Coturnix japonica: one gene and its partner. The protein of the gene in region 2 purifies or fractionates together with the protein of the main gene of each other region. This does not show direct contact. Links are inferred from orthologs where the notes say so. Each region holds a gene or a part of one and is shown on either strand. Other genes may lie near its edges.

Region 1 (4,240 bases), on a different chromosome or scaffold from region 2:
AGCAACACGGCCTTAACCCTGACACTTTTTGCTTTGGCTTTATGACATGGGAATGTTCCCTAAGCTGCACAGCGTATATGGCAGTATCCCCACGTTAGAAATCTCTACCAGTTGATACGCTGCAGCTTTCCGGTTCCAAGATCCTATCTCTCCTCTTTGTTTTTTAAAAGCTTTTATACATTCCACCTTTTAAAGTCAGTTTCGTATGTTTTGTGTACATGTAAGTCTTGCACTCTCTTGAAACTTATGATGGAATACTATTCTCACTTGTTTTTGTTTCATTGTTTTTACTTTCTTTTTCAATCCCTGTGAGGCTAAATACAAACTTTACTCCTTAACATCAAGTATGAAAGATGCACATCAAAGTGTTTGTGTGTGTGTGTGTGTGCGTGTGTAGTTTTAGCTTCCTGTGTGCCACAGCATTCTTAATGCTTTAGCCGATGATAAAAAGTACTCTGTCTTGGAAATGTAGGAAAATCAGTCAAATGTGTACCTTTACCACGCACAAAAGTTTCAAATAATAAAAATAAAGCTTGTTTCCTCTGTTATTGTTGAGAATTTGTCACATGTTTCGTACTCGCTGTCCCTGAAAATATCTCCAGAATCACAGAATGACATGGGTTGGAAGGGACCTCAAGGATCATGAAGCTCCAACCCCCCTGCCTGGCCGGGCCACCAAACATACACATTTACTAGATCAGGTTGCCCAGGGCCCCATCCAACCTGGCCGTGAACACCTCAATGGATGGGGCATCCACAACATCCCTGGGCAGCCTGTTCCAGAACCTCACCACTCTCCTAGTAAAGAACTTCCCCCTAACATCCAACCTAAATCTTACCTCTATCAACATAAAACTATTTCCCCTTGTCCTGCTATTATTGGCCCTTTCAAATAGTTTATTCCCCTCCTGATTATAAGTTCCCTTCAGGTACTGAAATGCTGCAATGAGGTCACCCCACAGCCTTCTTTTCTCCAGGCTAATGCAGCACGATGGCTTTGTCACTGCTGAGCTCTCTACAGCTGAATCCTTCAAGAAATGAGTGTGAGTTCTCACTGACTGGCCAGAAATGTCTTCTGTTCCCTGTATTATTACAGCAGAGGTTCTTTGCCACGGGGCAAAATCAGACATGCAGGTAAGCAAGACGCCAAGAGTAGAGAATGCCGGAAATAGAGAATACCAGGAAACCTGTACAGTAAATGGCCAGCTTCCTCTTGGACCTTCTTGTTCTCCAGCCTTGAACTTCAGTGCAGCACTGTTTTGCTGCCAGTCCCATGGGTGTTTAACCTTTTCGCCTTCCATTGCCTTTCAAAACACTTATTTTTCATACATTCCAAAACCAGCCATTTACAAAGCACCCGGAAGCCGCTTCCCCCCGTCACCACGTGTCCTGCCGCTCGCTCCCGGTACCGCAGAGGAGCTGACACCAGGTGTCGCTGGAGCCGCGCAGGCGGCCTGTCCCCTCCGGGTGGCGCCGAAATCAAACTGGCTCCCGGAGGCCGCCATGGTAAGCAGGGCGGCGGTGGGGCCCTTCCCTGCCCCCTGTTAGCGAGGGGCTGGGGGCCGCAGGGGGGGCCGGGGACCACCGAGGGATGTGGGGACAGGCCTGGACCCGGGCCGGGGCCCGGCGGCCATTACGGCAGAATAAGTAGCGATGCTCCGCATCTGAATGTACTTTACGGCATTTCCCAGTGGCGTATCCAGCACACGGTGGGACTGGAGCTGGGTTAGGTGCGATGAAGGTCCAGGCTGGGAACTCAGGCTCTGTGTGCTGCAGTGGGAGCTGGGCTTAGCAGTAAGGCTCTGTAAGGGGACACAGCTAATTTAGAGCTAATGGGATAGGAATTTCCAGCAAACATTAATTCTGCGAGTGGTAGAATATGTTTGTTTGTTTTTCTCTTGTTCCAGTCCAAGAAAAAAGGACTGAGCTTTGAGGAGAAGAGAGCTCGAATGATGGAGATCTTTTTTGAGACAGTAAGTGTCTTGCTGAGAGTTGCCCTGCGTTTATTCTCAATGGGAAGACAGTCCCATTTACTCCTGCCTGCTGTAAAGGCACTGTGCACGTCCAGCTTCTCCTCCATGCCCTCTGTCACCTGTGTATAAATTACAGCACTGGGTTCATGCAGTGTCAGCTCAGGTGGCTGCTTAGTGGTGGTGTGAAGCTGCTCATTGTGCTCTTTCTTCTTGGAGCCACATCTTTGCATGCCAAGCCTGTTATCATGAGAGGTCATGAAGTTTCAGAGGTGGGAGAAATCCCAGCATTAAAAAGATCAGTACGGATGGAGGGAAGAAACCTGGAGATCCAAAAGCAGGGCTATGGATATACTGGTGACGTGCATAAAACACAGCATCTCACCTTTTAAAATGTTATTGTGACCCTTGAGTGTTTGAGTAAAGCAGTGTATCCAGCACGGACAACCTAACCTTGGCTCAGTGTGCCAAGGGGTTTTCACTCTAACTTTAGACAAAGTTCTGTGATGTTATAGTCAGAAGCTCTTTCCTTTGGTATCCTTTATCACTTTGCAGAATCTTCTAATTCTACTGAGGGATATGCAGCATATTTTCACAGCAAAATATAAAGAGTGTTTCCTACTTGCTTTTGTTGGCATCAGTGTAGTGTAAAAGCTGCATGGGCTGAGCGGATGCTGTTGTTTGAAGCTGAAGTGTCTTTTATGGTTTTTTTTATGCAGAAAGATGTGTTCCAGTTGAAGGATATAGAGAAGATTGCTTCAAAAGACAAAGGGATTAGTAAGTGCTTACCTTCCATGAACTCTCATTCTATGAAATCAGTGTGTGTACTCAGACAGAGAATAGAGGATACAGAGATATGTCTATAATGTCACATATATCTTAAAATGCCATGGTTCTGTTGAATTCCCCCCCTCCCCCCAGTATGGCTGGATAGCAGTAGAGGAGAAGTCTTTTCAGTGAAAGAGAAAAAAAAAATCCATTGGCTTTGGATTAGGTCCAAGGTGATTTACCTTAATGCTGTTGAGTTGCTTTGTGTGTCCTTCATTCTGTTTTCCTTTGTGTTCAGTGATAAAGGTGGGAAGAAGTGCAGTGTTTGTGTGGTTGCCACTGTCCTTGATGAGCATGTCACTGTGGCACTGTGAGAGTAAGGAATGCACATGTTTGTTGAAAGAACCACGGGCACGTTGAAAAACAATGCTTTGCCAGATTCATGTTACATCAGCAGCCAGCAGAGATGCTCAACAGCATCTTCAGAACTGTGATTGGTTTGTCAAAATACCTCTTGCATCCATTTAGTTGCAATTTGTAGGAAGAAAATGCAAAATGGTGTAAGCAAAGGAATTTCATGTTTTAAAAGATAGAGTTTCTAACACCCTTTGTACCTTTGAAGAGTCCAGATTCATCCTGCCTGTGAATGTGGAGGCATTTAGCCACACCAGTAGAGTGGTTTCTTCTGGGAAGAGAAACTTAGTCTGTGGAAGTGCCCCTATATTGGCATACAGTCTATAGCTTCCAGAGGATGGGATGTTTCTGGTCAGGTATCTCCCTTAGGCTTGTAATTGGATGTCAGACACTGAAAACTCACATCTTGAAGGTATTTAGGTTTGCTCTGCTTTTGGATGATAGTATCTAGTACTTTGCTTGTTGAACTGGTGTAATTTTTTAAATGCTGGATTGTACTGCATGTTTGGTAGACAGTGGAGAAACAATTACTGCACATAACTATCATTGCAAGTGACTTTCTGTATTGGAACTGAATATAACCTAATGTCAAATCTAACCCTCATGAGCCCATAGGCAGATGGTCTTTGTGCCCCTTCTGCTGTTTATTGCTTTGGTAAATGCTGCAAAGCAAAATGCAATTACATTCCTAATCAAGCAATTGTAGGTTAATGGTTATTACAGTTAAGATTGCAGGACAACTGTTCAAGTGCCTTCTCATGAATTTGTTATGGCATTGTGCTGTAAAATTATACATTTTATGATAGTTATGAGCAGTTTACAAGCATCCTGTAGCAGACTGCACTAAAGAGCAGCAGCCTGTATGTTGAAGCCACCGATTTCAGAGGGATTTGTGCTTTGAAGTGGAGTATCAAGCACAATGTCCTCCTGAAATCTTCCAGCTGGCTGACACTGTATTGAAATATTCAGACAGGTAGATGATGTCTTATAATATTAATAATTCTCTACGGTTCTAAGGAGGTGCTGTGCAGATCTAATCTCATACTTTTGCTTCTATTAGCTTCCATGTCAGTTAAAGAGGTTCTGCA
Region 2 (4,332 bases):
TGGCTCACGAGGCCAATAAGCAATCACTTCCCTTCTGGTTTTCTGTTGTGTATCGTGGAGGGGAATCCTGGAAGGAAAAAGCATTGCACAGTTACCTAGGTTGTCTCTTGTGTGAGCATGAGTAATGATACAACCAGTCCCGGCTGAGAAGTCAACTGACCTGTGACTCTGTAGCTTCGCTTGGATTTTTGAAATAAACTGTGTTGGTAATTCAGAGGGAAAAGGCATCGATGTGATTGCTCCACAGTCACTCATGCCAGGATGCTGCTTCCTCCAAATTTCCTCACCTACGACAATTAGTCCAGTGTCTGCAGTTCTAGAGACCACTAAATCAGACCGACTTAGCATCACTGGGAGCAATCTTGAAGCCGATCTTCTTGGGGCTGTTATGTGATAATGGGATTGGTTTCCCTTCAAACTTAATGTCTGGGACTTAATGCTGTTCTGTCTTTAAGACAATCATTCCCTGTCCCTAAAACATGCACAGAAATCTAATTCTCTCCCAGCAATATTCAGCTGTGGGTAGAAACAAACACCTTCCTCCTGTTGTGAATGCGATGGTGTACAGCCACAAATGTTTGTGACTTTATTGGCCACTCATCTCCAGTTCAAGCTTTCTAGTGATGCTATTTTGTAAGAAACTTAATGGCAATAAGACATCTACTGTGAAGACTAGAATCCCGCAAAGAACATCCACATGTGGCAGCTGTTCTCATGTTGCTTTCTTAATGGACTAACAAATAGTAAAACCTTCCTGTGTTGTTCCAGAACACGTTCAGCATGGACGGCAGCAATACGACGTTTCCCTGACACTGCCTCTCGGGGAGATTTTCTGGAGGACAGAAGCAGACTGTCCTGTGTGGCCAGTTTTGTTCTGGGCTCCCAGGACAACCTGCTGCTTCCCAGCTTTGTACAGTCGAGAGCAGGAGCCGAATGGAGGACGGCAGCTCGACCACGAGTGACTGAAGAACTGTTTGTTGTGGTCACTGAAACCAGCAACCCACAGGGGAGAGACGTTCTTCAAGCTGGATCGCCCAAACTTTCCAGCCCTTTCTGAGTCATTGAGCTTCCCCATCGCTTTTTCTAAGCCATAGATACGGATCATTCACCTCTTCAGGGCAGCTCCCATCTGTGTGCTTTGCTTTTCCTTTGTTGTGCTCTGAGGCTGTTGGCCGCACACTGCGGGGATCGGCCTCGGGGGTGGTTTATTGCAGCCGTGACCGAGGCTTTATTTTATTCTGCCATAAAATCTTCCTTTGCACCTTTCAAGATGCAGCTCATAGTGACACAACGGCCGCGGTGGGAGCGGAGGGAGGAGCTCATGGAGCTGAGCTGGGGGACACGGGCCGTGCCGAGCTCACGGCTGGGATTAAATCCTTGGTTCATTCGGTTCGTGTTGTGGTAACTGGGTTCAATGGAGCCGCGGGGCGGAAATGGCGGCGTTGGGAACGGCCCGGGAGCAGCGGCTGTGCCCGCGGCCCGGCCCGGATCGTTCCGCCCCGTTTAAAGCCGCCCCGTATCGGGTGAGTTGACGCCGACAGCGGCTGTGGGGGAGCGCCCTGAAAGCGGGACGGCCACGGCGGCCACAAAGGGCACCGGAACTGCCCGAGGGCCGCGACCGGAAGCGGGGCGGAAGCGGGGCGGAACAGGAAGCGCCTCTCCTTAGCGGTGCGTCGCGCCGGAAGTGCGTCACAGCATCTGAGCGGGGCGCGGGAAGAAGATGAGCAAAGGGCGGGAGGGACCCGAGGGGAGCGGAGGGGAGCGGGGAACGGAACGGGACGGGACGGGACGGGACGGGACGGGACGGGACGGGACGGGACGGAACGGAACGTGAACGGGGGGGGGGGGACGGAACGGACAGGAGCCGCTCCTGGGCGGACACGGTGCGAGCGTTGCTGTCCCGCAGGGCCCGGTGCCGTCGTGCTGCGTTACCTGCGGGAGCAGAACCGGCCGTACAGCGCGCAGGATGTGCACGGGAACCTGCAGCGGGAGACCGGGATGGGCAAAGCGGTGAGCGGGAAACGGCCGGGAGACCGAACCACGGAGCGGGGCTCAGTGCGGGAATGGCGGTGTCTGTTGGGGCTGTCGGTGTCTGTCGGTGCTCCCGGTGTCGGTGCTGACGTGGCTCTGTCCCGCCGTCCAGGCCGTGCTGAAGGCGCTGGAGCAGCTGGCTCAGCAGGGCCGTGTCCGTGAGAAGCCGTACGGCAAACACAAGATTTACTTCGCCGACCAGGTGAGACCCGGCACCGGCCGCGCCCCCCGCCCCCCCCGGCCCCGCTGAGCCCCCCCCGCCCCCAGGAGCAGCTCCCGGCCGCGGGCGATGCGGAGCTTCGTGCGTTGGACGCCGACATCACCGCGCGATCCCGGGAGCTGCAGGAGCTGCTGAACAACTGCCGGCAGCTGGAGGCAGGTGAGCGCCCACACGGCACCGACCGCGGGCGGCCGTGGGCACCGCGGGGACCGGCCGAGCCGGTGATCGGCGCCGCCCTCCAGAGCTGAAGGAGCTGAACGGCACCATGACCACGACGGACATGGCCCGGGAGGTTGAAGAGCTGAGGAAGGACTGCAGCAGTTACACGGAGAAACTGGAGAGGATCAAGTCTGCCACCAACCACGTAACGCCAGAGGAAAAAGAGAAGGTGAAGAGCTGGGGGGGGTTGGGGGAGTGAGGAACGTAGGAACGTACAGCACAGTCTGCATCGAGGCTGCTCAGAGCAACTTGGAATAGCACAAGTTGTCCTTTCCTTGCAAATCTTTGTCCAGTCACTGGGCGCTACCAATCCATCTCCTGGCTTTGAGCTCACAGACACTCAATGCAGTGGCTGCTGGCTGAGTTGTTCTCACTTTGCCTTTCCTTTGACAGGTCTGCAGCGAGCACAAGCTGTACTGCAAGGAGTGGCGGAGGAGGAAGCGGATGGTAATGGTTTCCCCATTGAACGTGAGGTGGGCAGAAATGTCAGTGGCAAACCCACAGTGACAGTGGAGCGGGCACAGTCTTTTATTTGTTCTTGGGGAAACAAAACAAGCTCTTGCATCCCTGTGCAGGGGTTAATGTGGGAACAGCTGTGTTGGCTCCCTGTATGGGAGGCAGTATCCCACAGCTGTGGCAGAAAGCTCAGCATCAGTCCTGCAAATCTCATCTAACTTCTCTGTCCTGCCAGGCAACCGAGCTGCTCGATGCCATCCTGGAGGGATACCCCAAAAGCAAGAAGCAATTCTTTGTAAGTCCCCCTGCTTCTGCTTGTGTCCCAGGGCAGCTGCGCCTGCTGTGTCAGAGGGCAGCCGTCTGCTACAGGAGCACTTTGTCCTCGTGCAGGAGGAGGTTGGAATAGAAACTGATGAGGAGCACAATGTTACACTCCCAGCAGCTCTGTGAGGTGCAGGTGGATCTCATTGCTTTACAGAGAACACATGGTGGTGGATCCAATGCTGAAACTCAGTTGTTGGGTTTTAGGTTCGTTTTCTTCTGTAATTTTTTTCCAGGGCTTGTGCTTGTTCTGCACTTTTATATATTTTTGTTTAAAAGTGCTTTGCCCCTGGAAGGGAAGTTCAGAGCAATTGACTCAGCAGTGGACCCTCTCCATTTTGGTTGGGCTTCTTCACTAGGCAGTGACTGGGAGGGTGTAAGAGCACTGGGTTACAGGGATGGTGTGTTGATAAGAACAGGAAGGAAGCACCTCACGGAGGTGAAGGAACGAATTACCATTATGGCCCATATTTCTGTAAACTCCATACATGGAGGGAGCTGCTTCCCACAGTATGTACAGAGTTGTACACAACCCCACGATTCATTAAACACCATCCTTCTGTTCCAGATGTGCTCTGCTGTGGTGTCTTCTGTGTTGAGAGGGTAGCAGGGCTGGCCTTGGACGTGGTCCGTGAGCCACAGCTGCAGTGGGTGCAGCCCTTACCTGATCCCATTAAAGTCTCCAGGCACACAGCACCAGAAATAAAAGCAGAAGAGCCATTAAAACATTCAGCAAAATTTATTTAATCATTTTCCATAATAGAAAAATATGTCACTTTCACATATGAGGTCTGTAAAAATCCGCATCTTCCTCTCAAGGCAAGAGGTTGCATCTAAAGGAAATTAAGCTGTGCCCTGTACGTGTCATCAGTTGTGTGCGACACCACAGGGTCTGACTCCTACTGGGCTTCTATTGTATTATATCCAAAAGGTCACAGGGTTTGGAAAAACAATTTCATCTAAAAATCAACCCCACCAAAAAGCTTTTCTTCATTTAAGTCAAACAGAAGCAACAGCTTCAACCATCTCCAGCTGCAGCATTCAAAAATCAAGCAACCCGGAGCTGAGAAACTTAGCATTACCTC

Evidence for each region. The genes of interacting proteins can lie anywhere in the genome.
Region 1: the proteins of PSMC3IP (region 2) and MND1 purify together in Homo sapiens (co-immunoprecipitation; 6 studies listed by BioGRID and IntAct, counting the BioPlex papers as one, with this or other methods). This does not show direct contact. The link is inferred for Coturnix japonica from reciprocal best matches to the Homo sapiens genes PSMC3IP and MND1.

Annotation. Positions count from the first base shown.
Region 1 is NC_029519.1:17,741,133-17,745,372, forward strand, and holds the start of MND1 (meiotic nuclear division protein 1 homolog), read left to right. Parts: upstream 1-1,384; 5' UTR 1,385-1,503; coding exon 1,504-1,506; intron 1,507-1,907; coding exon 1,908-1,973; intron 1,974-2,689; coding exon 2,690-2,747; intron 2,748-4,212; coding exon 4,213-4,240. UniProt on the Homo sapiens protein: Required for proper homologous chromosome pairing and efficient cross-over and intragenic recombination during meiosis.
Region 2 is NC_029542.1:4,582,417-4,586,748, reverse strand, and holds PSMC3IP (homologous-pairing protein 2 homolog), read left to right. Parts: upstream 1-1,495; 5' UTR 1,496-1,720; coding exon 1,721-1,757; intron 1,758-1,906; coding exon 1,907-2,010; intron 2,011-2,143; coding exon 2,144-2,233; intron 2,234-2,298; coding exon 2,299-2,410; intron 2,411-2,493; coding exon 2,494-2,639; intron 2,640-2,863; coding exon 2,864-2,917; coding exon of another isoform or gene 2,918-2,943; intron 2,944-3,161; coding exon 3,162-3,221; intron 3,222-3,316; coding exon 3,317-3,376; 3' UTR 3,377-3,816; downstream 3,817-4,332. Other genes in the region: RETREG3 (reticulophagy regulator 3), read left to right, coding at 1-19. UniProt on the Homo sapiens protein: Plays an important role in meiotic recombination. Stimulates DMC1-mediated strand exchange required for pairing homologous chromosomes during meiosis.